2 linked regions of the Oryza sativa Japonica Group genome follow. The protein of the gene in region 1 interacts with the protein of each later gene in a pairwise test. Links are inferred from orthologs where the notes say so. Each region holds a gene or a part of one and is shown on either strand. Other genes may lie near its edges.

Region 1 (11,919 bases):
CTTCCGTCCCGCGCACGGCCGCGCCACCTCAGTCTCTGCCTCCATCGCGCCGCGCTGCCGTCACCGCCTCCATCGCGCCGCGTCGCCGCCCCCGGCCTCCGCCCTCCGCCGCATCGACCACAACGCGTCGGCACCACCGTACTCCCACCGACCACCGCCGCATCGGTGTCGACGGTGTGTGCCACCTCCCGCTGGCCCCGCCTCGGTGCACCTCCGCGTCGACTCCTCCAAATTCAATCAGACCGAGACCGAGACCAAGACTAAAAAAAACATTACCGAATTTATCGGTCCTGATTTTTTTTTGACGAAGTTCGGTCCTAGCTTTTAAAAACCAAAATAACCAAAAACCGGAGATCGAGTCTAAAATATTCGGTCAGACCGAACGCGCGCCTCGTGTACCTCGAGACAACATGCCGTAGGCCTGCCTTCCCTGCAGGACAGTAGGGACAACGTCCTCTCATTCAATCACGATTTGTGCATGACACCCCGTACAGTACATGTACCTTGCCAAATTAATTGCTGTGCATACGCGTGCAAGTAGTACCACCAATTAAGGATATGGTACACTGTACAAATTAACAGTAAAGATAGCGCTGAGTTATGCTTAAAAAATGTGCGAATTTGAGAGAAGGGGTCTCGAAAGTATAGCATTTTCTAACGTACGCGCGAAACAGTTTTGGACGATTTTTTTTATAAAAGATACTATAATTAACACAGTAGCATTCAATTAAACATGCCTAAAATACGTTGATATGTGGCCTTCTCTCATCCAAGTATAGAAGCATTAATACTGATTAAGGGATATATATATTTGGCCCACTAATCTGAAATGATGTGGACTGAAGGCGGCCGCGCGCTGATTGACACAGAAATATACATATACAGGGACATTCACTGTAGTACGAAAACACGACGATTAATACTCCTAATTATATCCCATGATGAAACGAATCTGATCGATAACCTATATCCTCCCTCCGGTTAATAATACTTGTCGTTTTAGACAAAGGCACGGTCTTCAGAAAGTAACTTTGACGACTATTTTCTATTATAATATATATAAAAATATCAACAAATATATGATTTTATTGGAGTACTTTTTAAGACTAATCTAAACATATGGTTTTCATATTTTTAAGATAAATATTTTAGAAATTATTTATAGTCAAATATTTTAAAGTTTGACTTTATCATTGTCCAAAACGACTAATATTATCAGCCCGGAGGGAGTAGTAGTACTTAGACGTTGTTTGTAAAAGAGAAATATGTTTTAAGCATATGTAGTATATCCAATCAAAATCTTATCCATCCTGGTTATATATTCAGATTTGCTCCCTGCAAAAAAATATATTTAGATTTGCTTTATATTTTGTCTAGAGAGGGGGTAGGGTGGTCTCCGTGTCGCTCCCACCCCAAAGCGACAGGGATAGTAACTAAAGGAACACCACCGCTACTCCTCCCCCCTCCCCCCTCCTTGTTGCCGCCTTAGTAGCCCGCCGACAAAGCTGGCCGGTCGTGAGGACAACGGTGGTAGGGGGGAGGGGAGGGGGCTGACGACCCAAGGAAGTGGAGGCACCGCTACCCAAGTCAAGGCCCTCCTCGGCCGGAGCTGGCGAGGAACAGTGCCGTGTGCTGGAGTGGCAGTATGCAGTGAAGACAATGGCTGTGCCTCTCTCAGATGAGTTGGACGGTGGCAAAGGCGAAGTGGTGCGAGAAGGCGCTGTAGCTCGGAGAAGGCGGCCTGCTCAATCATGGAGGCGGGGTGAGGCGGCTGTTGAGGAGAGGCAATGGAGGTGCAGTGCAGCGCACCAAAGAAGACGGTGTGACAAGGGGATGTGGTCGTGGAGGCGGGGCGAGGTGGCCGTGGAGGCTGAGGTGGGCGTGCGGACGGTCGCATGTGAGGATGCGACAGCAGCTCCTCGGCTTGGGGAGAGGCAATGATGAACTCTCACACGCCCAAGCTCCATGGTGTGGTGGCGCATGAAGGATGGCAAAGAGCCATCCAAGGCGGTTTGGAGTAACAGCTGGGGCTGCGCAAGGGGGTTGGCCAGCAGAGGGGTGATGGTGCGGTGAGCCTGCGTGCTGGAGGAGGTCGTCTGTCTGGCGGGGCATTGGGCTGGCGATGGTTGGGTGGGAGTTGGTGCTGCGGGTGAAAGCCTAGCTCGATGTTCTCGGGTCGACAATGACGACACCTCTTGGCATCGTGCTCTCCCTTTGGGACGTTACCGAGTTGCCACCTTCTTTTCCCCGTTAAGACTTTCCTAGTGAAAATCGAGTCCATGGTGGACATGCGACGGTGGTGCCTTTTGGTGTCACAACCTCCGTGGAGGCGCCATCTAGGAATCTTGTTCCCTCGTCTTTGCTGCCCTTTTATTATCTCTCGTCCTCACCCTCAACCCTTCCGTGAGGGAGGCTAGAAGTTTGTCATGGATGTTGGAGTTGGTTTGAGGTGGGGGTGTGTTCGATCCCTATGTAGCGATAGCGGTGACCAGTCATGCACAGCGATGGTCAGTTCGGTCTAGTGATTTTCGAGGGTGTGATGAAGCTTCTAGCATGTGGTGGGTGGCTTCTTTTTTTTTTTCTAATTATAGCCTTTTACTTTTTCCTGAACATATCAATATGAAATTTCATACTGTTTTGTGCTTTATTTTAAAAAAATTCTTATCCATCAATTAATTATCAATGCGGATCCGTGAGGAATGAAATATTTTAGAAAAATTTTAGACAACCAAGTACTAATAACTAATAAAAAATGCGCGGAACTTTTCGCTTGCATTCAATATTTGATGGGGTGCTGACATGAATCATGTCAAGCCGTGGAATGAGGGAGCGTTAACCATGCATGGTTAAGAGCAAGTTTAAGGACACCCATAATTATTATCTATAAGCTCTCTATAAGAGATTCATATCAGCATATTTTCCTACTTGGAAGAGATTAAATGAAGAGAGAGAATAAAGCTATCTACTAACCTGGAGATAGTCTATAGAGAAAAATGAGACAATGTATTAGAGAGCTATAGATCCCCATGTAGACATACTATTGAGATGGTTTACTATTAATCTAGTCTATTGCTGAGATGTACATGTTTTATAGATAGCACCTTACTTTACCATTGCGGGTGCTCTAATAAGGCACACTCAGCGGGCGATAAGAGTGCCACGTCATCCAAATTCATTCGTGGAGGAGAGAGAAAGCTAGAGGGAGAGGGCAACGGGCGCTTCTGCAAACGCCGAGCTATAGCACAAGAAATTATGCATATTCAATATTGTGGTTGTTTTTCTCCAATAGTATAGCTATGGCCCCATTAGCAGAACACACGGGATAGGATAGAGAGTAGCAAGTTAGATTAAAAAATAGAAAAAGTTAACTACCTAGAGAAGTGTGTAGGTAGATTAGCAGCCTACTATTATACATATCATCTTTATTTTCTATCTCCGGATGACATGTACATTTTTATCGTCAGTTGATAGCGGTACTATTAAACTTGCTCTAACGGATAATCTAGCGAGCAAGTGATTCGGAAAAAAATAACTCTGTAGCCTGCACACTGGGTAATAAATGATGGTCGTCGCACCAGTTGAACTAAGCAACGGTCGGTGCGAGCAGTATCTTTACCCCCCTATTGTTACGTTGATGGCTTTTAGGCTCCTTTTAACATGTGGAGTTTACAATAATTTTATAAGAAATATTATTAGTCAAATTCAATCGCAGTTTATTTTATTGATATGCACACCCTTTAATTTAGTCGAAATTATGAATCCTAAATTAGGAAGTACGAGCGATAGTACTTTATCTACACTCAGAGAAAAAAAGAATGTCCCCTAATACACATCACTGCCGATGAACTCTATTGAAACTGGGTTATCTGTCTCCGAAAGTCACTTTCTCGGTCCTCACATAGAGGCCATTTGGTCTGTGATCTAATGTCTTTGTTGGAAGCGGTGAATACTTTTAGACATGTTTGACATGATTTTAACTTCTAAATCTAACTCTAACAGTGAAGTCTAGAGTAAAGTATGGAGCAATCCAAACCCTATTTTTCCCCTATAATTTATTTTTCATATCACTTCAGCCCACTTTATCTCCTTCAGATATTGCTTAAACATTTGGTTGGGCTACAATTTTAAGAGAGATGGAGTCAAAACCTTATCATATACTTCCTCCGTCTAAAAAAAACTTAACCTAGAAGGTCCCCTCCTATGACAACGAATCTAGATAAATGGTAGTATAAATTTGTTGTCATAAGGGTCACATCTCCTCCAAAGTTAAGTTTTTTTTTAAATGGAGGGAGTAAGCACTTAATTTATAGTTCAAGAGTTCTTTTTACACGAATAATATAGAGTATCTATATAGTGAGAATTTGAACAAGTTATGTTATGTTTTTAGTTTTTAGCTAATATACTAGTTTATTTTTTTAGATCTTATGATTACTACACAATCTATCTAATAAAAAATAAAATTAAAATGTTTAAGAGAGCAGTAGCTCCTATTGCTATACAAGCTCTTGGAATAGGACCTCAAATCCTATATCCCTAACCTAAAGAAAGAACCAAAGAAACCAAATCTATAGCGTTGTGTGTGTAAACAAATAAATAAAAAAAAAAGTCCACCGAGACAAGAAAAAACGCACCGTTGCCGTTCCGAGGAAACGACGGCGGGCAGGACAATCCCGCATCCGCCGTGTCCCTTTCCGCCCCCGGCCCGGCCAATAGCCCAGTGGGCCCCACCCCCCCTCCCCAATCCCATCGTATCCCCCCGCTTCCTCGGATTCCCCTGCCCCCTGTCCCCCCATGTGCCGGCCCACTGGGCTCCACCCCCCCATCCATCCACGCATCCACCCCCCCCATCCGTCTCCATCCCTCCCAGTCTCCCACCTCACGCACTCGATGCGATCCCCCCCATTTGAAATCCCCCCCCTCTCCTCACCGCGACCGCCTCCCCCAAACGGTCACCCCCGCTTTGGCTCTCTCTTCTCTTCTCGCCTCGCCTCGCCACCGACTCCGATCGAGTGGGGGGAGGGAGGGGGGGTTTGCTGCTGCTGCGTGCGCGCGCCATGGCGTCCCCCGGCCCCGCCGCGGGGATGCAGCAGAAGCTGGAGGCGGCTGCGGCGGCGGCGGGGGGAGGAGACGGGGCGGAGTGGGGCCGGGGAATGCAGAAGATGGAGGCGGTGGGAGCGGGGGGAGAGGGGGTGGGGGCGGGGGCGGAGCAGGTGGCGCCGCCGCCGAGGAGGCCCGTGGCGGCGCGGAAGGAGAGGGTGTGCACGGCCAAGGAGCGTATCAGCCGCATGCCGCCCTGCGCCGCCGGGAAGCGCAGCTCCATCTACCGCGGCGTCACCCGGTACGGCTCCTCCCCCCTTTGCCCTCTCCCTCCTCCGTGTCTCGAGTCGCGGAGAAGTTTTACTTGGATGCTTATTAGGGGATATGCAATCGTTCTCTGCTTGGATTGATCTGTGGCGCTAAATCCGTTCGTCAGGTCTCCTTGTATGCTCAAAATGGTACCGTCGATTCGGGATCTAGATTTTTCTTTTTGTTTACTTGGTTATATACGGATTAGCTGTATTCATCGGATTACCTGTTGTGTCTCCAAGGGGACGATCTGAAATAATTAGGAGCTTCGCTTGATCTAAATAAATATAAAAGCTAATGAATGATTTTCACTTGACCAGTACATCCAACATCATGCTTGATTTAAGTTGTGTCAAACTGGGTTGACAGGGTTTAGCTCTAATCTGGGTAAGAAGCAAGTTTTGGACCCTTTTCGGTCCAGACAAGTGTGGGGCTCAACTAAAAGATGAATTTTCAAACTATATGTGTATTTACATACTTAAATCTTTTATTTGGTGTTTAATCTGATCCAAAAGTAGTATTTGTTCTATATTGTTATTCAACTGTTCTTGTACCACCATATGCTACTTCTTTCTTAATTTTGTTGTAATTTGTAAGCAAGATTTTAACTTTCAGCTGTTATTATGTATGAATTTGATTTGACACTTGTTTTGTATCATCTATAGGCATAGGTGGACAGGCCGATATGAAGCTCACCTCTGGGATAAAAGCACATGGAATCAGAATCAGAACAAAAAAGGGAAACAAGGTCTGTATACCCAATGCAAATTAGCAGCTATATTTTACATGTTTTGAAAAGTTGACCAAGGGACGTTGGAAGCTAGGTGAATTTTAATTGTATTTCATAGATAATCCATGCACGTCATTTCCTTTTATATCTAGCTATAATTAATCTGATTTAATGGAATTGTCTCTTTTGCATGGGAAATTATCACCCAAAATGGCCCTGCAAGTGCAGTATATTTAGGTAAGAAATCTTTGGTGTTAACTGTAAAATGTGCAATTGTATAAACTTCTTTATCCACATCAATTCAATGCGCAAATACACAGGTGCATATGATGATGAAGAGGCTGCAGCAAGAGCTTATGACCTTGCTGCATTGAAATACTGGGGAGCTGGGACACAAATAAACTTTCCTGTGAGTCATCTATACTTGCTAATTATAATTGGTTTCTTAGCTTCCATTTAGTTCTTCTACAATTATTAACCACACACTGCCTTTTCTTCAAGACCTTCATTTGGTTAAATTTAATCATTTATATTTTGCATCACCTGAGCTCAATTTCGAAGACTGATTCTCTTAAGATGCAAATTGAAAACCAAAAGATATCTTAGAGAGTGTTGTACCAAACTTTGGATCATACTAGTCCAAACATATCCTATGCAACTATTGTGTGATGTTTGAAAAATCTGAATACTCTTGACTATTATATTATGTTCTTTTGTATGCAAAGGTTAGGGATTTATTCAGTTTACACTTGACGATTCGGAGATGGATGTTTGTGTCCTTGACAAAAAAAATCTCTTGTTTTCAGAAAATTCATCTCTGAGCATATAAGCGACATTGAAAAATCATTGTCTCAGAAGAATATTGGCAAAACAAACATATGCATACATGCCATCTCTTCAGTTTGGTATCTATATGCCTATACATCTCGATGGAAAATAATTGCGATGTTGCTTATGAATTATTGTACTATGTTTTTTCCATTCTATATTTTGCACTAGTTAATTTGATTTGTGGTAATCTTTTTCAGGCTTATGTTCATTATGTATTTGCTTATTTAGGTCTCTGATTATGCAAGAGATCTTGAGGAAATGCAGATGATCTCCAAGGAGGATTATCTTGTGTCTCTTCGGAGGTATATTTGTGAATTTATAATACGTGCATATTACTTTGTTTCTTAAGTACTAACTGTAAGACACATGCACTGCAGAAAGAGCAGTGCCTTTTCCAGGGGTTTACCAAAATATCGCGGCCTTCCTAGGTACTTATTAGCAATGAGAAATATATTTGGAAGTTAACTCTATGTTCAGTTATTATATTTGCATGCATGTTTGTGATGCTAATTCAGTAACAAGTCTCATGTCCAATTTTCTTTTCTATTGTGCACAAACTATCATTGTCCATGTTTTGTTTATTTCGGTAACATTTTCCATCTTGCTACAAATATTTATGGCAAACCAAGTAGTAGTATGTAAAGATGATGCCCTGTGGTATATTACATTAGAAATTATTTTCAGCAACTTCATGTATTTCTGCTATGAATTAAATTAGTAAGCTCAGCAGATTTTTGGAGGTAGATAGCTTAGATACTAAACTACTAGCTCTTATTCGTGTGTCATTGGTCTTCATTTAGAGAATTTTAAAATAAAGTGTCATTTAGCAAAGATGCAAACCTTCAAGTTTTGCTGAACATTAATTCTTTCCAATAATCACTCGATTGCACAGCCACAGTCCCTCAACTGTACTTGTGATGCTGAATGTGCGTCATCGAAATTCTGTGTTTCCTCACTGATTACTGTTGTCAATGGAAATTCGGCATTCAGTGCCTTCGTTCTTTGTATGGTTACAGCTATCCTGCTTTCTGTGGGATCTCAACCAACCAAAACATAATATTCTCAACAGAATATCCTTTCAGAGGAGAGTGATTACTTGTAGCTGAGATTTTGAAGAGATCGACATACTTGAAATTTCCTTCTAGGATAGGATCCCGACTTAATAGTGTCCTGAGGACCACTAGAAATTAGTTTAGGAAAGTTTATTATTTGGACATATAAAGTAAAACTATACTCCCTCCATACTCATAAAGGAAGTCGTTTAGGACAATGTTTAAGTCAAACCTTGGGAATATAAATCATTAATAACTCTTAAGTTGTTGAGTTTGACAATGCAAAAATTATATGAATATATTTGCCTTGAAAAATACTTTCATAAAAGTATACATATATCACTTTTCAATAAATATTTTTATAGAAACAAGAAGTCAAAGTTGTGTTTTGAAGACCATCTCGCTGTCCTAAACGACTTCCTTTACGAGTACGGAGGGTGTACGTAATTCTGTTTTACTTAATTATTCACCAGATGTCAGTCTTCGACTAATCATTACAGTGCACTACACTGCTGGACACGTACAGTCACATTGATATAAATTTTATAACTGCAACTGTTGTGACATTATCATGCAGGCAGCTCCATAATTCCAGATGGGATGCTTCTTTGGGACACTTGCTTGGCAATGACTACATGAGCCTAGGTTGTGGTGTCTCCATAAAAACTTCTACACTGCTGTTTCTGGTTAACAAACTACAGAGGAGAAAGACAAATTCTATGTGGTTTTGTAACCAGTCTTTCTATTTAAATTACAGGGAAGGACATCACGCTGGATGGGAAATTTGCAGGAACCTTTGGCTTAGAGAGGAAAATTGATCTGACAAATTACATAAGGTGGTGGCTCCCAAAAAAGACACGGCAGTCAGATACATCTAAAATGGAAGAGGTTACTGATGAAATCCGTGCTATTGAAAGTTCAATGCAACGGACTGAGCCTTATAAGTTTCCTTCCCTTGGCCTCCATTCTAACTCAAAGCCCTCTTCCGTGGTCCTATCAGCATGTGATATCTTATCTCAGTCTGATGCCTTCAAAAGCTTCTCAGAAAAATCTACAAAACTATCTGAAGAATGTACTTTTAGCAAAGAAATGGATGAAGGAAAGACAGTTACCCCAGTACCTGCAACTGGACATGACACAACTGCAGTTAACATGAACGTGAATGGGTTGCTTGTGCAAAGAGCTCCATACACATTGCCCTCTGTTACTGCACAAATGAAAAATACCTGGAACCCTGCTGATCCTTCTGCGGACCCTCTTTTCTGGACCAACTTCATCCTGCCAGCAAGTCAACCTGTCACGATGGCAACAATAGCAACAACAACGGTTTGTTCCTCTTTGGCTCTACTTGACAATTTGAATTAAATCTGTAACATATTTTCAATTTTTCTTCTTGTGCTTAATTTGATGCTGATTTGTGACAGTTTGCAAAGAATGAGGTGAGTTCAAGTGATCCATTCCATGGTCAAGAGTGACCGTACGAGCTTACCAAAGTGCATGCAGGATTTGCTTTTTGGCTTGGTAAGTAGAGACTGTAGGCATAGTAAATTTTACATTTTTTCATATATTTTCTTTCTGTGTATCGCCTAAATTATCTGCTTGAAGAACTCAATGCATCACGAGATGTCCAGATTTGCATTCAAATAAGAACATGCAAGCAATGGAAATATGTTTATGTCTAACTTACAAATATCTAAGGATTTATTTTCCCTTGATTGACAGGTGCCAGTCTTGAAAAGAAAAGAATATACCTGACAATATGACACTCCGTTGAAAGAACACAATGAAAATGAACTGAGACAGTTTAAATCTAATCAATTAAACCAAACAAAAATACTGTTGTGAGATATTTATGTGTGCATAAATATTTTTATAATGATGAAAATATGGGATTATGTTGTGTAAGTGGTGCATCGAGTATTTGAGACATGATAAATCAACATTGTTTATGTGCGTGTGCCCACGCGTGGACAGTGCTTTCAGCTTTCCCTCCGTTAAAATATCAGTAACACTGACATGTGGGTGTCAAATTCTTAATTTACTATAGCTACCCAGGAAGATCCACTTTGCATATGCTTTGCACTCGCAGTCACAGTGATTTTACTGGCACATCCTTTTGTAAAATTGTTAGTTTTATTCCTTTTGAACGAACTAATTGTTAATTTTATGAAAAACAGCACGGTAGTTATAGGACATGTTTGCATTCCTCTTTTCTGCTTAACTGAAACCTTTTGCATATTTCAGGTGGGTGATAACATCCTGCACGTCTATGGGTTTCCTTCTTCCTAGCTTTTGAGGTGACCCGTGAACAAATACCCTTTGTATCCATAGTTCATAAGCCATGAATAGAAGGTAAGAGAAGTACAACCATAGTTATGTAATATATACAGTGCCTAGTGGCCTAGTGCCCCGTTAATGATATTTAGTTATAGAGCTGTCTGTACATATCGCGGTTCTTATTTCAGCTACTTGGTTGGTTCTATAGAATGAAGAGAACAGAAGAACACGAATTTTTCAAAGCTTAATTGTTTATTTTGAGCAAATATGTCCAATGCTTGTTGTTTGAGTTGTACAATTCGAATGATATTTTCTTTATGCTTTGGCTGCGTTCGTTTATCTGATAAGAGTTGGATGAAATTCTGGATACTCGTGGCCGGTTTTCAAACTATTAAACGGTGTATTTCGTCCGAAAACTTTCTATATGAAAGTTGCTGTAAAATACCAGATTAATCCATTTCTCAAGTTGGTAATAATCAAAACTCAATTAATCACACGTTATTATCACCTCGTTTTGCGTGAAATACTTAATCTTTATCTTCATAAAAATCTTCAGGAGATTCAAACACCACCTTTGTCAGAGACGGCACCAAAATATTCGTAATGAAAACAATGCCAAATCATTCAGCTACAAGAATGGTTAAAAAAATATATACATTAAAAAGGTCTTAGTATGACACTACAACCATAGGACTCATATATGGCGCATGACTCCATCAATATTGTTCAAATGTTGGAAGCCATATTTATAGACACATGGTTGTCCTTTAGCAGGAACTAGTAGGCATGCTTGTGAAATTAATGTACACCATCAATATTGTTCAAATGTTGGAGGCCATATTTATAATGTAGGTGCGAAGTATTTTGAAATTTTATTTATTACCTTTTCTTTTGCTTGCTTATAGTACGTACTCAGAACCTATGTAGATAGTCACATGATGTTATACCATCGATTTACCGGTATAGATTTTGGACTCGGGTAGTCGGGTCACTGGATAATCCACCCATAGAGCGCGATTGTCAATCCACTCTCCGGGTGCTCCTCATGCATAGATCCACGCTAGCCTTTTGCTTCTCATATATGTGCCCTTTCTTCGATCAATTTTGCTATATCTCACTCGAAAGTTTTTTTTTCTTATCTCTCACTTAATTTTCTCATTTAAATTTACAGTGTATTTTCTTGTAATTTATGAAACATACATTGTAACTTTTATAAGTTACAGTGTAATTTTTGAATCTTCACTTGTAAGTTTTGAAATTTATATTGGATTTGGTCTTTTTCTTAAAGATATAGTAATTTAGTATCCATTGTGGTGTTTCTTAGTTGATTTTTGCCTTTTATTGTATCTATTGAATTTTAACCTAAAGATTAAAAATCTATGTGATATAATCATAAAAATGATGCATAGGTACTCGTATATCCACCTTCGTAGCGGGGGACTACTAGCTGGCGCATGCGCGCCAGCAGCGAGAACTCCCCCTCCCCCTTTAGTCCTAACTAACTATATTATTTAATATACTTCACACTAATAATAGTAATTAGGAAAAATTCTGGAGATTTTTTTACTAACAGATTGAAAATTTTTTAAGTTAGATTTGTAAACTTTCGATTTAAGTTTTAAATTTTAAAGTCAAATTTTAAAAACTTTTAACTCAGATTTGAAAACTTTCAGCTTGAGATTT
Region 2 (11,718 bases), on another chromosome or scaffold:
TAATGCAAAGTCGAATATGGCACGTGCTGGAAAAATGTGATGACATCCCTTGGTACTTTCTCCCTATTCTCAGGCTGGAAGAGATCTCAGGTTTTTGAGTCAATCAATGGGAGCATGCTTTGGCATTGGAACCTTTCTACTAATGGTATGACCGTATGACTGTTTCCTTTCTTTCTCCTTTGGTGAGGTACTGATGTTAGATATAGGTTCTTTAGATCGATGCTAGATGGAGTTTTTGTCCCTACTTCAATTATGTTGAATGAGCTTGAGAAAAAAAAAAGCATTGGTACTGTGAACATTGTATCTTCTTCCTACTTTTGAATGCTGTCACTCAGTTCATAAAGCTCTGTGATGGCTGTCTAGCAACTAAAAGAACTTAAGTCCAAAATTTGAAAATCCTTTAATCTTCTTTGTTGTTCAAATAACAATAGTCACATCCTAATGATCGACTTCTCTGATCTCGTTTCTTCTTAACAGATCATTCGCAACAAATTTGGTAGTTTGCCTGGATGCTGGTGGATACTTGTCTTGTTTCAGTGGGTAAGGCCATCTGACCATTTCAATATATCAAGTTCTTTTTCTCATATTTGTATCCTTAGTTCCCTACCAAAGATAACAGACTATCGTTTCGAGCCTTATTTTTTGCATTATCTTACTTCTCACTATATAATAATGTCTCGCTACTCCAAATGTTTCCTGGCCACATTTTAATACTGTTTCCATTTTCCAGGGTCGGTTTGGAAGTGCTTTACAACGGCTTCTTTCTCCAACGGGCATGCTATATAACGAAAACTTCAATAACCATCATGATGAGTATGTCAAGGTGAAGGCCACATAAGAAGTAGTATGAATTATAGGTTTTCCTGAGGTGACAACAAAGATGAAAAGAGTTGCATAAGCCCAGAAAGATCATTCTGCAATCTCTGCTGATCAGTGGCACCTCAGCTCTCATACAGAAGCTGCACTTAGTTCATAGTATGATCTTTGGAACGGAATTCAAGACATGATGGCCCAGAAGATTAGACCAGGAAAAATCAGTAAGTTGTAGGGTAGAATTCGTTCTCCTGTCATGATATACTCCCTCCGTCCCAAAATATAAGCATTTTTAACTATAAATATAGACAACTGTGTGTCCAGATTCATAGCTAAAAATTGTTATATTTTGGGACGGAGGTAGTAGTATATAGTTTTGTCCTAGGAATTATACCTGCAAGCAACATTATTGCTACGGTAAGGAAATGTTTTCCACTGTCAAACACGAAGGCTGTCAAAGAGCAGTTAATTGAGCATACGCAGAAGAAAGCAAAAATAGATAAGAACAAAAATTTCCACATCTTTCTCCGCGAAAAGATGTCAATATCTTATACTAGCTCTGCGTCACAAAATGAATATTATTGAGGTGCACGCCACATAATGCAGCTGTTGTTTCTTCGGGTCACTAATTCACAGCTTCAGTGCAACTCACCTTGGCCATACCTTTATGCATTCTTATATACAAGAAATCGAGTTTTTGACATGCGGAGCCATGTGTTCTAAGAGATGTGATAATTTGATATTTCACTCAGCTGGCTTTCGATTACTTAACATTCATTTTCATTGACTTACATGGTCCCATACGTCATCCTAAAAAGTATCAATTTTAAAAATTAAAGTGACAAGAAATAAAGTGTCAAATCATCAAATTTTACATTTAAGTAATGTGGCTAGCTAAAACTGTGGCACCAATCAAATAACCGCAAAAAAAAAAACTAGGGCGTGTGTAAAATTTAGCTTAGCATGTTGTGGCAAATTTTAGATTTAAGATAAGATGCACTGCTTTTGCTCTTAAAAGAAAGGGAAGAGAAAGACTCTGCTTCATCTTGGGCTGGGTCGAAATGAGGCCCATCTACTCTGGAAGAGAAAGTAGAGGCCTTGTGGGCTTTAAAAGGCCTGGCCTGGTCTAGGTTTCCCGGCCTCTCATTGGGAGCAAATCGCTCCTCTTCTTCCGGGCCTCAGTTAATTTCCAGCCACCCCCTTCATATATTACACAAACATTTTTCCATCTAAATGCGTGGTGATGAATTTTATATTGTTTTGGTTTTTGTAGCATAAGATTGTTTTACTCTTCAGTTATGCATGCACCACTTCAAAAGTAAAGCCCTATTTTGTCTTTGTGGTCTTCAGGATTGCCCTGTAAGTAAAAACAAAGGAATTCTAAGATCCAACTTTCTTAGAATGTGTGAAACGCCTCACAGGTCTTGGGAAGCATTCCGAAAAATTTGGGTTGGCATAGTACTTTTGATTTTAAGATCCAACTTTCTATCAAATTTGACATACTTGAATGCAACCTGCTGTTGTTCTTCTGTTCACCAAGTGTTTTAAGCATGCTACTGGATCTTCACTACTACCTAGAATTAGGATAGCTACTGTTTTCTGGATTTTCCAGGCTAGTTATTAATTTATGTGCTAATAATAATAATCAAGATTCATAATCATAGGGCTCAAAAAGAGCCACACAAGGGTCATCGTCGTACTGCAGAATGGTGGCAGCTCGCTCAAACTCCTCCCTGAGAACCCTGATTGTCTGCCTGTCGACAACACGACCGAGGTCATGGCTGGTCTCGAAAGGATCCTCGATGCATATCAGATGGCGATCGTTTCCAACGCGAGTCGTCCAGTTCTTCTCCTGCTTGCTATCGATCGACCAGAGATCGAACCAAGTTAAAAAGGACGCGAAATTCTTTGAAGCATATGTGACATTAGTTCAAAATCGAATTTTTGAAGTTTAGTCGGTTTTTGAGAAACGCTCGTTGGCAATTCTCACCTGATTGTGTTCCCCATGCGGACGGAGATGACATCGTTCCTGTAATCGTGATGGAATGCCCAGTAGTGGAAGAATGCCCACAGTAACTCGGCGATGCTCTCCTTGTTTTCAGCACCAAAATCTTTAAGCTGGTCAACTTGGTCGAAGTATGCACATTCAGTGCCATCGACAACCACAGTATATGTTGGCTCCATCGCCTACAATTGGAGTGAGTTGAGAGGACAAATTGCATCAGGATAAAACTGACGGAAGTAATTCATAGATGAAGCTGAAATATACAACTTTGCAGATCCTGATTTCATCTGAACAATTCTAGACGCAAGCAACTCTTAGTAACATCAATCAAAGAGAATAAAAAATGGACCTGCTACATTAGTGAAAAAAAAAAGAAAAGAAAGGAAAGAAAATTGACCAACCATAGTTGAATGTCGAGCCATCCAAAACAGAATCATGCATATATGAAGGGAGAATGCGAAATCAGGACGATTCCACCAGCAAATAAAAGAGATAGAAGTTAAGTATTTTAGAGATAAAAAAATGAAAATGAAAATAAAAATGTGTGCAGACCATTCGTTTAACCTGTATCAGCATCATGAGTCTAAATGCAGATGAAGCAAGCGTGAAGTGATTTTATCCTAAACTGTGTGCATCCAAAGTATCAGTACTTCAGCGAGTAGTTCATATGAATGAAACATATTGGTGAGATAAAAAGTAAGGTATAGAACCTGCAAACATGGTAGAATCTTGGGCTCTCTTTGCTGCAAGAAGCTAATGCACATAAGCACATATCTGCAAATTAATAAGAACAAGATCAGGTTCAAGATTTTCAACAAATAACATATAGCTGTAAAAAGGGGAAAATCATGAACGCAAAGTCGTTTAACTCACGCATAGCTCGAAAGGGTTCCACGATATGTTTCATTAACGCCCCTTAGTTTGGCCCAGTGCTTTACAATGAAGGCCAGCTGAAGCAACCTCTCATCTATCTGGGCATAATCCTTGAGAAGCTTTGTGTTAGCAACAGCAAAGAGATTGTTGACACAGATATCACATGACAAGCCACTTCCTGGATCTGCAATCTTCACAATTGGAACTCGAGCACTGGTAATAGCCTGCATGAATTTGACAGGCATTAGAAGATGAACAGTCTCAACCTGCGTCAATTAAGAAGCTATTTTTCAAATACATCAATTATGAAGAATTATTTTTTCCCGGGCCTAATTTTTTTTCCACCGGGGCATTTATGAAGAATTACATGAGGCAACTAGCTCTTCACATTCCAGTTCCAGATTAATTATGCAGCTAATATTAAATTTTTCAAGTAATGATGAATCATTCAAATTTGGAAGAGATGCTTGCTTGCAAAATTGCATATATCTGGAGAAGAATTAATTAATTACCTCAACATTGTCGAAATCATCCTTGCGCAATGTCTCTGCTAATGCGAGAAGAAGCTCAGCAATGTTCTCTTCTGCAGCAGTGTCAATTTGGAGACAAACATCTACATCGCTATGCGAATTTCCGAAGGAATTAGCACACGATCCATAGAGATGCAGCTGGGCGTTGGGCCACTCTTTGCTCACAGAATTCGTGAGGGATTCGATGAGCTGCCTCTGCTTGGCCTTGTGCTCCTCTGATGGATTGAGGGATTCGTAGAGGGAGAGCAATCCGGGCGTGAAGGCGTCGATGTCATGGCGGCGTTCCACCCTCCACCGCCGCGTTCCGACTCGCTGGCGCGGCGGCGGCGGCGGCGGTTGATCCGGCGGCGATCCGAGCTGCTGAAAGGGAGAGCAAGGTGAAGAGTTTCATAGCATGAAGCGTCGGTGAAGTCTCGGTCGAGTTTTCCTCTACCTCCATTGGTTTCTCGCTGCCGGCGCCATCGGCGACGACGGCGAGGAGGTCGTGATCGGCGGCGACGTCGAAAGGGTCATCGCCGTCGCCGTCGTCTTGTTCGTCGTCGTCGACGTCCACCTGCTCGTCCCTCTCATCTCCACCGGCATAGCCCGCGCCCATCGCCGCCTGGTCCTCATCCCCGCCGCCGCAGTCCTCGCCCTTCTTCTCCACGGCGACCCACACCTTCTTCTCCCTCTTACGCACCACCGCCCGCCTCTCGCCGCCGGTGGCCTCGCCTGCATTCGCTGCTCCGATGAAGCCTCCTCCCACCCTCCGCCGCTCGAAGCCACGACGTCCACCATTCCCGACGAAACCTCCATACCTCCACCCCACCACCCCACTCCGGCCGCCAAAGCAACCACCACCACCATTGCCCATCCGCCGCGGAGGGCAACGAGTCGGCGGCGGGGCCGTCGCCGTCGCCGGCGGAGGTATCGAGAGAGGCGGGAGCCAGGAAGGGCGCGTGGGGGGCACGATGAAGAGGCGCTCCTCGGGGCGGGGTGGCTGGGGGAGCGGCACGGGTGGCGCGATGAGGCGGTGGGGCGGGACGAACAGCGCGGCGGGAGGAGGGGTGGTGGTGGTGGTGGTGGCCGGCTTCGGCGAGGGGAGGAGGAACCGGAAGAATCCATCGTCGGCGAGATGCCGCCGCCGCCGCAAGGGCTCGCCGCCGACCATGGCGCGCGGTGGTTCGCGACGCGGGGCGAGGAAGGCGTGAGTGAAGTGGAGTGGAGAAGAAGGCGGATTCCTTTTTGGCTTTTTCAACGAAGTGGTCAACAAGTCAACGCTTTTTTTTAAGGTACTCCATCCATCTCTAAATGTTTAACCCGTTGACTTTTTTAAACATGGTTGACCGTTTATTTTATTAAAAAAATTTAAGCAATTATTAATTCTTTTCCTACATTCATTGTTAAATATATTTTTATGTATACATATAGTTTTACATATTTTACAAAAGTTTTGAATAAGACAAACGGTCAAACATGTTTAAAAGAAGTCAATGGCATCAAACATTTAGGGAAGGAGGTAGTAATAGTTAACTATTTTGTTAGGGTGTGTTTAGTTGGGGAAAAGAAAATTTTTGGGTGTCACATCGGACGTTTGACCGGATGTCGGAAGGGGTTTTCGGACACGAATGAAATAACTAATTTCAGAACTCGCCGGGAAACCGTGAGACGAATCTTTTGAGTCTAATTAAGCCGTCATTAGCACATGTGGGTTACCGTAGCACTTATGGCTAATCACGGACTAATTAGGCTCAAAAGATTCGTCTCCCTATTTCTCCCATAACTGTGCAATTAGTTTTTCTTTTTATTTATATTTAATACTCCATGCATGTGTGCAAAGATTCGATGTGATGTTTTTGGGAAAAACTTTTTGAGAACTAAACGGGCCCTTACTCTCTTACTAGTGGTGCTAAATTATTTGCCATTAGACCCACGTATCGTAGACAATGAATAACTAATAATTAATTGCTACATCTTAAAAGTGGCATGGAGTTAAATGTCCCTTTTTTAGAGGTGGACTGAATTGTAAAATTGTATTTTCATTTGAACCCAGGGTGCAATCTACAAAAAGTTTACTAGGGTTTTCTTTGCTTCTCTCGCATCCCCTTCTGAAGTGATCGGCGGCGGCGGCGGCGGAGCAGGTGAGCAAGGTCAGTCGCTTGCTGATTGGTGATTCCGGAGCAGTAGATTGATTCGTACTAGCTTTCTTCTTCCTCGGGCAGGGCAGGGGGAGGTCTCGTTGCGATGGCGGGAAGGGGCGAGATGCCGATGAGGCCTGTGCGGCCAGGGCCGCCGATGCAGTACCGGGGGCCTCCTCCCATGGCTCGCGCGCGCGTCGAACCCGTCGATCGCGAGAAGGTGAGGCCTCCTCCGTGCCCCCCTCCCAATCGATGCGCTGGAACAGCAGTAGATTGCGTACTACCTTGCGATTCGACGGCATTGTGTTCCAGTTCGATTCTGCTAGGTTAACCATGTTGATTGATTTGTTTACTTACTGTTCACTATCGGGTTCTTTTGCAGACGTGCCCTCTCCTGCTCCGGGTTTTCACAAAGGTAAAACCTCTTGTTATCTCTCTTACTGCTAACTTCGTTCATTTGTATTCCTGTATGTATGATAAGTTCACATTATGTGATTTACACTTCTGTTTAGTGTGGTTGACTGAGGAGAGCATATGTTCATTTGAATACAAGTTAAATAAATAGTCAGAAACTTTATTGCGCTAGTTATTTGCATTGTGCAATCTTACCGAATCATAGGTTCTGGTGCCTTGATGGAATTGTAATGTTCATATCGCACTTGTAGTTGAGTCACACTTCTATGCAGTATAACTCGATCAAGTAACTCATGGTAGTGTTGTTGAAAATTAAATCCCAAGCCATTCATTTAGGACAGACTTCAGATTCTTGAGTAAACACTCAGCGACACAGAAAGCTGATTGTGGTACTGGTCATTTATTTTCAGGTTGGTGGCCATCACCAAAATGAAGAGTTTGCCGTGAGAGGAAAGGAGCCGAAAGATGAAGTGCAGATATACACGTGGAAGGATGCCACACTCCGAGAGCTCACTGATCTTGTAATTTTTCTAATATTGTGCTTTCTTGTCCTCTTTGGGGAAAATGAAATTTTACCTAGTTTTATACTACTTAACAAACTAGAAATCAACAAAATTTGACTAGTCTGATGATGATAAGTGGGGTTTGGCACTACGTTTGACTAAATGTTGTTTTTAGATGGAGATCTGATCAGCACAGTTTTGGTTATGTTTCAGGTGAAAGAGGTTGCTCTTGCAGCAAGAAAAAGAAATGCAAGGCTTTCTTTTGCTTTCGTGTACCCTGATAAGCATGGTCGTTTCGTTGTCAAAGAGGTGAGAGTTTATCCCCATTGACCATTGTGACTATTCTTCTGCTCATCCTGTTTTTCTTCCTCTGATACACAAACATGGAAAAAATGCAGAGCACGTTGGTCTTAATCTGAATAGGGAATGAGTGTTATTATCGTGAATGAGTTGGATTTTGCTTTGACTGTCACTATACGTTGGCTATTAGTTTGGTCACTATACATGGGCTATTAGTTTTAGTTATGGTTACTATTTTGTGTGCTTATATTCATGACATGCTTCCAATGACATCAAAATCTCTTTTCTGCAAACTCAGGTATGCATACCTAACACATGTCATTGGTACACCACTAGGCCCCATGTAGTTACCACTTACCAGTAGCCACTTCAGTCACATCGTGATAATTGTCTCTGTACTAAAACGTAGCTTGTTACAAGTTCTATCTGTGCCATTAAACCACTAAATATGTCAGTAAATTCCCTTGTACAACCCATGTTCCTTTATATTCCAAACCAGTAACTGTTCAATTTGTGATAACTTATATAATTGGATATTGATTGAAGGTGGGTTCAACCTTCTCTTATGGCCATGGAAGGGGAGATGATGCTAAAACTCTTGCAGAGCTAGGATTCCAGGTATTTGTCAGAGCTGTATTATGTTATTACAATGTATTCTTCTGAGGCAAAAATCAATTGATTATTTGCTATGTTCTTTCACAGATAGGGGATTACTTGAGTGTTGCAATCTATTGAGTGACACTGCTTCACGAAATAGTGTGTTTCTCCCTGCCTACCATGCTGAATCCAGCTTTCCTGTGGCGGTACCCAGCTTTCCTGTGGTGGTGAATATCTCTGTAGTACTAGAGACGTGATACCAGAACTGTTTGTTATGGTAGTAACCTTGGAATTCACTCAGTATTTCGAGTGTGTTGAACACTTAAAACGTTTGATGTGATTGCGTGTTATATACCTGTTCGTGGTTTCCTTGGAACTGTGAGATCTGAACATCACGCGTTTTCCATTGATTCTCTGCGCCGAGTAGGATTAAATGTGTTCTGTGCTAAATAACTGGGTGAAGGAACATAATGTTCTTATGATCATCTCCTACTTCTCACATTTCAGTGTTTCAATTTCCAACTGAGTTGGCAGGATACTGTGTAGTTCTGTGGTGAGCCCCCAAAGTATCTGAATGCATGCACATAAACTGAGTCACGGCTATCACAACTCACAAACAGCATCAAAACAGGAGAACGACAATGTGAAATTGGAATTTTGTAGTATGATTCTTTACGTTCAGACACATCAACCAATACATCTTGTGGCAACTGGCAAGGAAACTCCTCTGTAAAGTATTAGGAATATTTGCTAGTCGAGCTAAGGTCACTCCTCTGTAAAGAAATAGGCAGACTGATGGTAAGTTAGCCAACCTGTCTTCCAAAATAATAATGCTTGATATAGAAATTGCCTCACACTTTTGGGAAATTTAACTATTTGCCACTTTTAGGTTTGGCAATTAACCAAATACCCTTCTTAGATTTGCACTTAAGAATTTGCCACTGGAGAGAGAAGCTTTTGTAATTTTTTGCCACTTTCTGCACTGTTCAGTGCCACATATACATGCCAGCATGGACCAGGCACACGAAATGACTAATCTACCCTTGTTAGTAATGTCTGTAATATAAGCTGAGTCAGGAATAATATTTGGACAAATTGCTTTCGCGAATCAGTTGCATCGGTATGGATGCTGTTCACTTTTATGAGGTACTATATTAAAGACCGAGTACCTCCACATCAGTTAACAAATCAATATTTGAAGTAATAGATCCACTGAGATGGTTATAACAAACTTTCAAAACGATACTTAGATTGAGTTCTTTTGTTCACTTTCATAACTCATCTCTCTCGTTTTTCACGTGTACGTTTTTCAAGCTGCTAAACGGTATTCCAATTTGGCTGGTATTGTTGGGATGGTGCCACCTGGAGTGAGCTCAATTAAGGTGTGCGATAGCATGGTTTGGAAATATTTCTCTCTTCACGTAAAACTGAGCAAAGAATTAGCGCATGACTAATTTAGTTTGAGTTTTAATAAATAAAGAATAGATTAATATATATTTTTAAAGTAACTTAATTTTATTTAAAAAGTTATTAAAGAAACGTGCGAAAAAAATGAGGGAGTAGAACTCAGACCGGCGGAGGCCCTGGTTCCGGTTTTTTCCAGTCCAACCGCCGGTCTGGTCAGTCCTAATAACTGTGAGTAGAAGTTAGAAAAAAGACATCCGAATGCAGCCTCAAAAAGTTAATGAACTGACTGTAACATGAATGGTGCCATTGATGTTGTTGCCTTATAAATTTAAAAGTGTAAAATGGGAAGATTGGGCAGGTTGCTGGTTTCTCTTGGTATCTTTCCAGTGAATGAATTATGACTAAGATTCAATGCGGACAGGCTTAGCAACTGAGAAACTAACCACTAGCTAGAAGGGGTAGGTTGGTCATTTTTCACGTTGGTCCATGTTGGCATGCACATGTGGCACTCCACAGGGCAAAAAGTGGCAAAAAGTTACAAAAGCTTCTCTCTCTAATGGCAAATTCTTAAGTACAATCTTAAGAAGGGTATTTGGTTAATTGTCAAATGTAAAAGTGGCAAATAGTTAAATTCCCCACTTTTCTTCTTTTCCTTTTTTTTTTTGAGCACAAAGGGCAAGGAGCTCTGCCTCATGCATTTAGGGGGGGGGGGGGGGGGGGGAAAGCAGTACATTTTCACAATATGTTTCTTTCAGCCGGATTCTTTGGTCTCCCGCAACTACTGCCCTTCAAAGTCCAGGAGCAGAGTACTCTTGTGATCTGGTCTTCCCACACTTCATTTCCTCCCAAAGATATCAATCCTTGAGAAGAAATGATCCAGATCGGTGATACTATAGTGACAGAGAAAGTTGGCTTGATTGTTTGGCTATACAAAGTCCTGATTGGACCAATATTTTAAGGATATCTGCTGAATTATGGGTACACCGCTGCCCGGAGCATCTACGCCCCGCTCTGAACACCTGGATGAACAATCTTAGTGACATAGGAATTTCTTAAACTCCATCCTCCCCCCTCTGTATTTTCTGAATTCTCAAGCAACTTCTCCTTCCTCCATGTAAATTATCTTTATTTGTAACTATCTCTTTATTTATCAATAAATGTTCAGGCCGGTGCTAATCCACCCGCCATAGTTTCCCTGAAAAAAAAAAGGATATCTGCTGAATTAATCTGCATTCTAACATCATACAGTTGGTTGATCCATTTCTTATGGGGCAGTGGATCAGGCACAGTTTCTGCATCCTGTTCGTTCTTTTAAGTTCACACTTATTAGTCCATCCTGTTTGGAGAAGCAAAGGGCATGCGATTGAAATGCTCCTTGGGACAAAGCAACCCACTAGATTCTTTCCCTTATTCTGGCACTTGCACGTCTCATCTGTCTAGCAATAAAATCAGCTTCCTTCATTTTCCCGGATTCCTCCAGTGCATGATGAAGTGCAACTAAACTACGAGGTGCAGCGACAGAAGCCAAAGCACTTCTGTTCTCAATGAGTTCATAGAACAGCCGGAATGCTTCTGAAGCTCTACCAGTCATGCAAAGACCATCCAGAACCATGCTTGGAATGGCTACACCAAAATTCTGAGACTTCTCCAAGCTAAACAAAGTAAAATCTGCAGCTTCTATGAACTTCTTTTCCTCGCAAAGGTTTGCGATTAACTTTTCCATCTTGATGTAATAGCCATGGTCATATAGAGATGTAACAATCTTGTAAGCACGGTCATTTAGGTTGTTCCTGAACAATGTATCTACCAAATTTGTCGAAAGATCAACATTTTGGCGAATCTTCCTCTCTAGCATTATCTCAATCAAATCAGCTGCTTCTTTTGCACAACCATCTTTGTTCAAAAGCCCCAAAAGAACCGAGTGAAAAGTACTTGTGCTTGGCCGAAGACCGCTATTCAACATCCTGTGCAAGGCTTCCCATGCAAACTTCATCCTTCCCCTCTGTGAAAACCCTTCAATCACGGCAATGTAGCATTCATCATCAGGGACAAGATCCCGCTTCAACATTGAGAGCAGCAATGCATACCCTTCTTCGAAATCACCCTCTCTGCAATGCCCAAGGATCAATGTCTTGAATGCAGGAACATCGACCTTGCTC

What was found.
Region 2: the proteins of aP2-like ethylene-responsive transcription factor SMOS1 (region 1) and histone deacetylase complex subunit SAP18 interact in binary tests that used the Arabidopsis thaliana proteins (3 or more experiments, as listed by UniProt). The link is inferred for Oryza sativa Japonica Group from reciprocal best matches to the Arabidopsis thaliana genes AT2G41710 and SAP18.

The regions. Positions count from the first base shown.
Region 1 is NC_089039.1:18,908,648-18,920,566, forward strand, and holds aP2-like ethylene-responsive transcription factor SMOS1, read left to right. Parts: upstream 1-4,876; 5' UTR 4,877-5,054; coding exon 5,055-5,338; intron 5,339-6,011; coding exon 6,012-6,094; intron 6,095-6,304; coding exon 6,305-6,313; intron 6,314-6,396; coding exon 6,397-6,485; intron 6,486-7,135; coding exon 7,136-7,209; intron 7,210-7,284; coding exon 7,285-7,335; intron 7,336-8,536; coding exon 8,537-8,604; intron 8,605-8,716; coding exon 8,717-9,285; intron 9,286-9,383; coding exon 9,384-9,434; 3' UTR 9,435-9,480; intron 9,481-10,203; 3' UTR 10,204-10,499; downstream 10,500-11,919.
Region 2 is NC_089036.1:1,162,687-1,174,404, reverse strand, and holds histone deacetylase complex subunit SAP18, read left to right. Parts: upstream 1-6,310; 5' UTR 6,311-6,350; intron 6,351-6,402; exon of another isoform or gene 6,403-6,422; 5' UTR 6,423-6,444; coding exon 6,445-6,558; intron 6,559-6,720; coding exon 6,721-6,753; intron 6,754-7,162; coding exon 7,163-7,273; intron 7,274-7,468; coding exon 7,469-7,564; intron 7,565-8,101; coding exon 8,102-8,173; intron 8,174-8,257; coding exon 8,258-8,290; 3' UTR 8,291-8,528; downstream 8,529-11,718. Other genes in the region: protein DETOXIFICATION 46, chloroplastic, read left to right, coding at 74-145, 478-540, 731-838; UTP:RNA uridylyltransferase 1, read right to left, coding at 2,459-2,672, 2,804-3,000, 3,529-3,592, 3,692-3,957, 4,204-4,581, 4,655-5,371; pentatricopeptide repeat-containing protein At1g02060, chloroplastic, read right to left, coding at 10,953-11,718. UniProt on the Arabidopsis thaliana protein: Links the histone deacetylase complex to transcriptional repressors bound to chromatin. Involved in the tethering of the SIN3 complex to core histone proteins.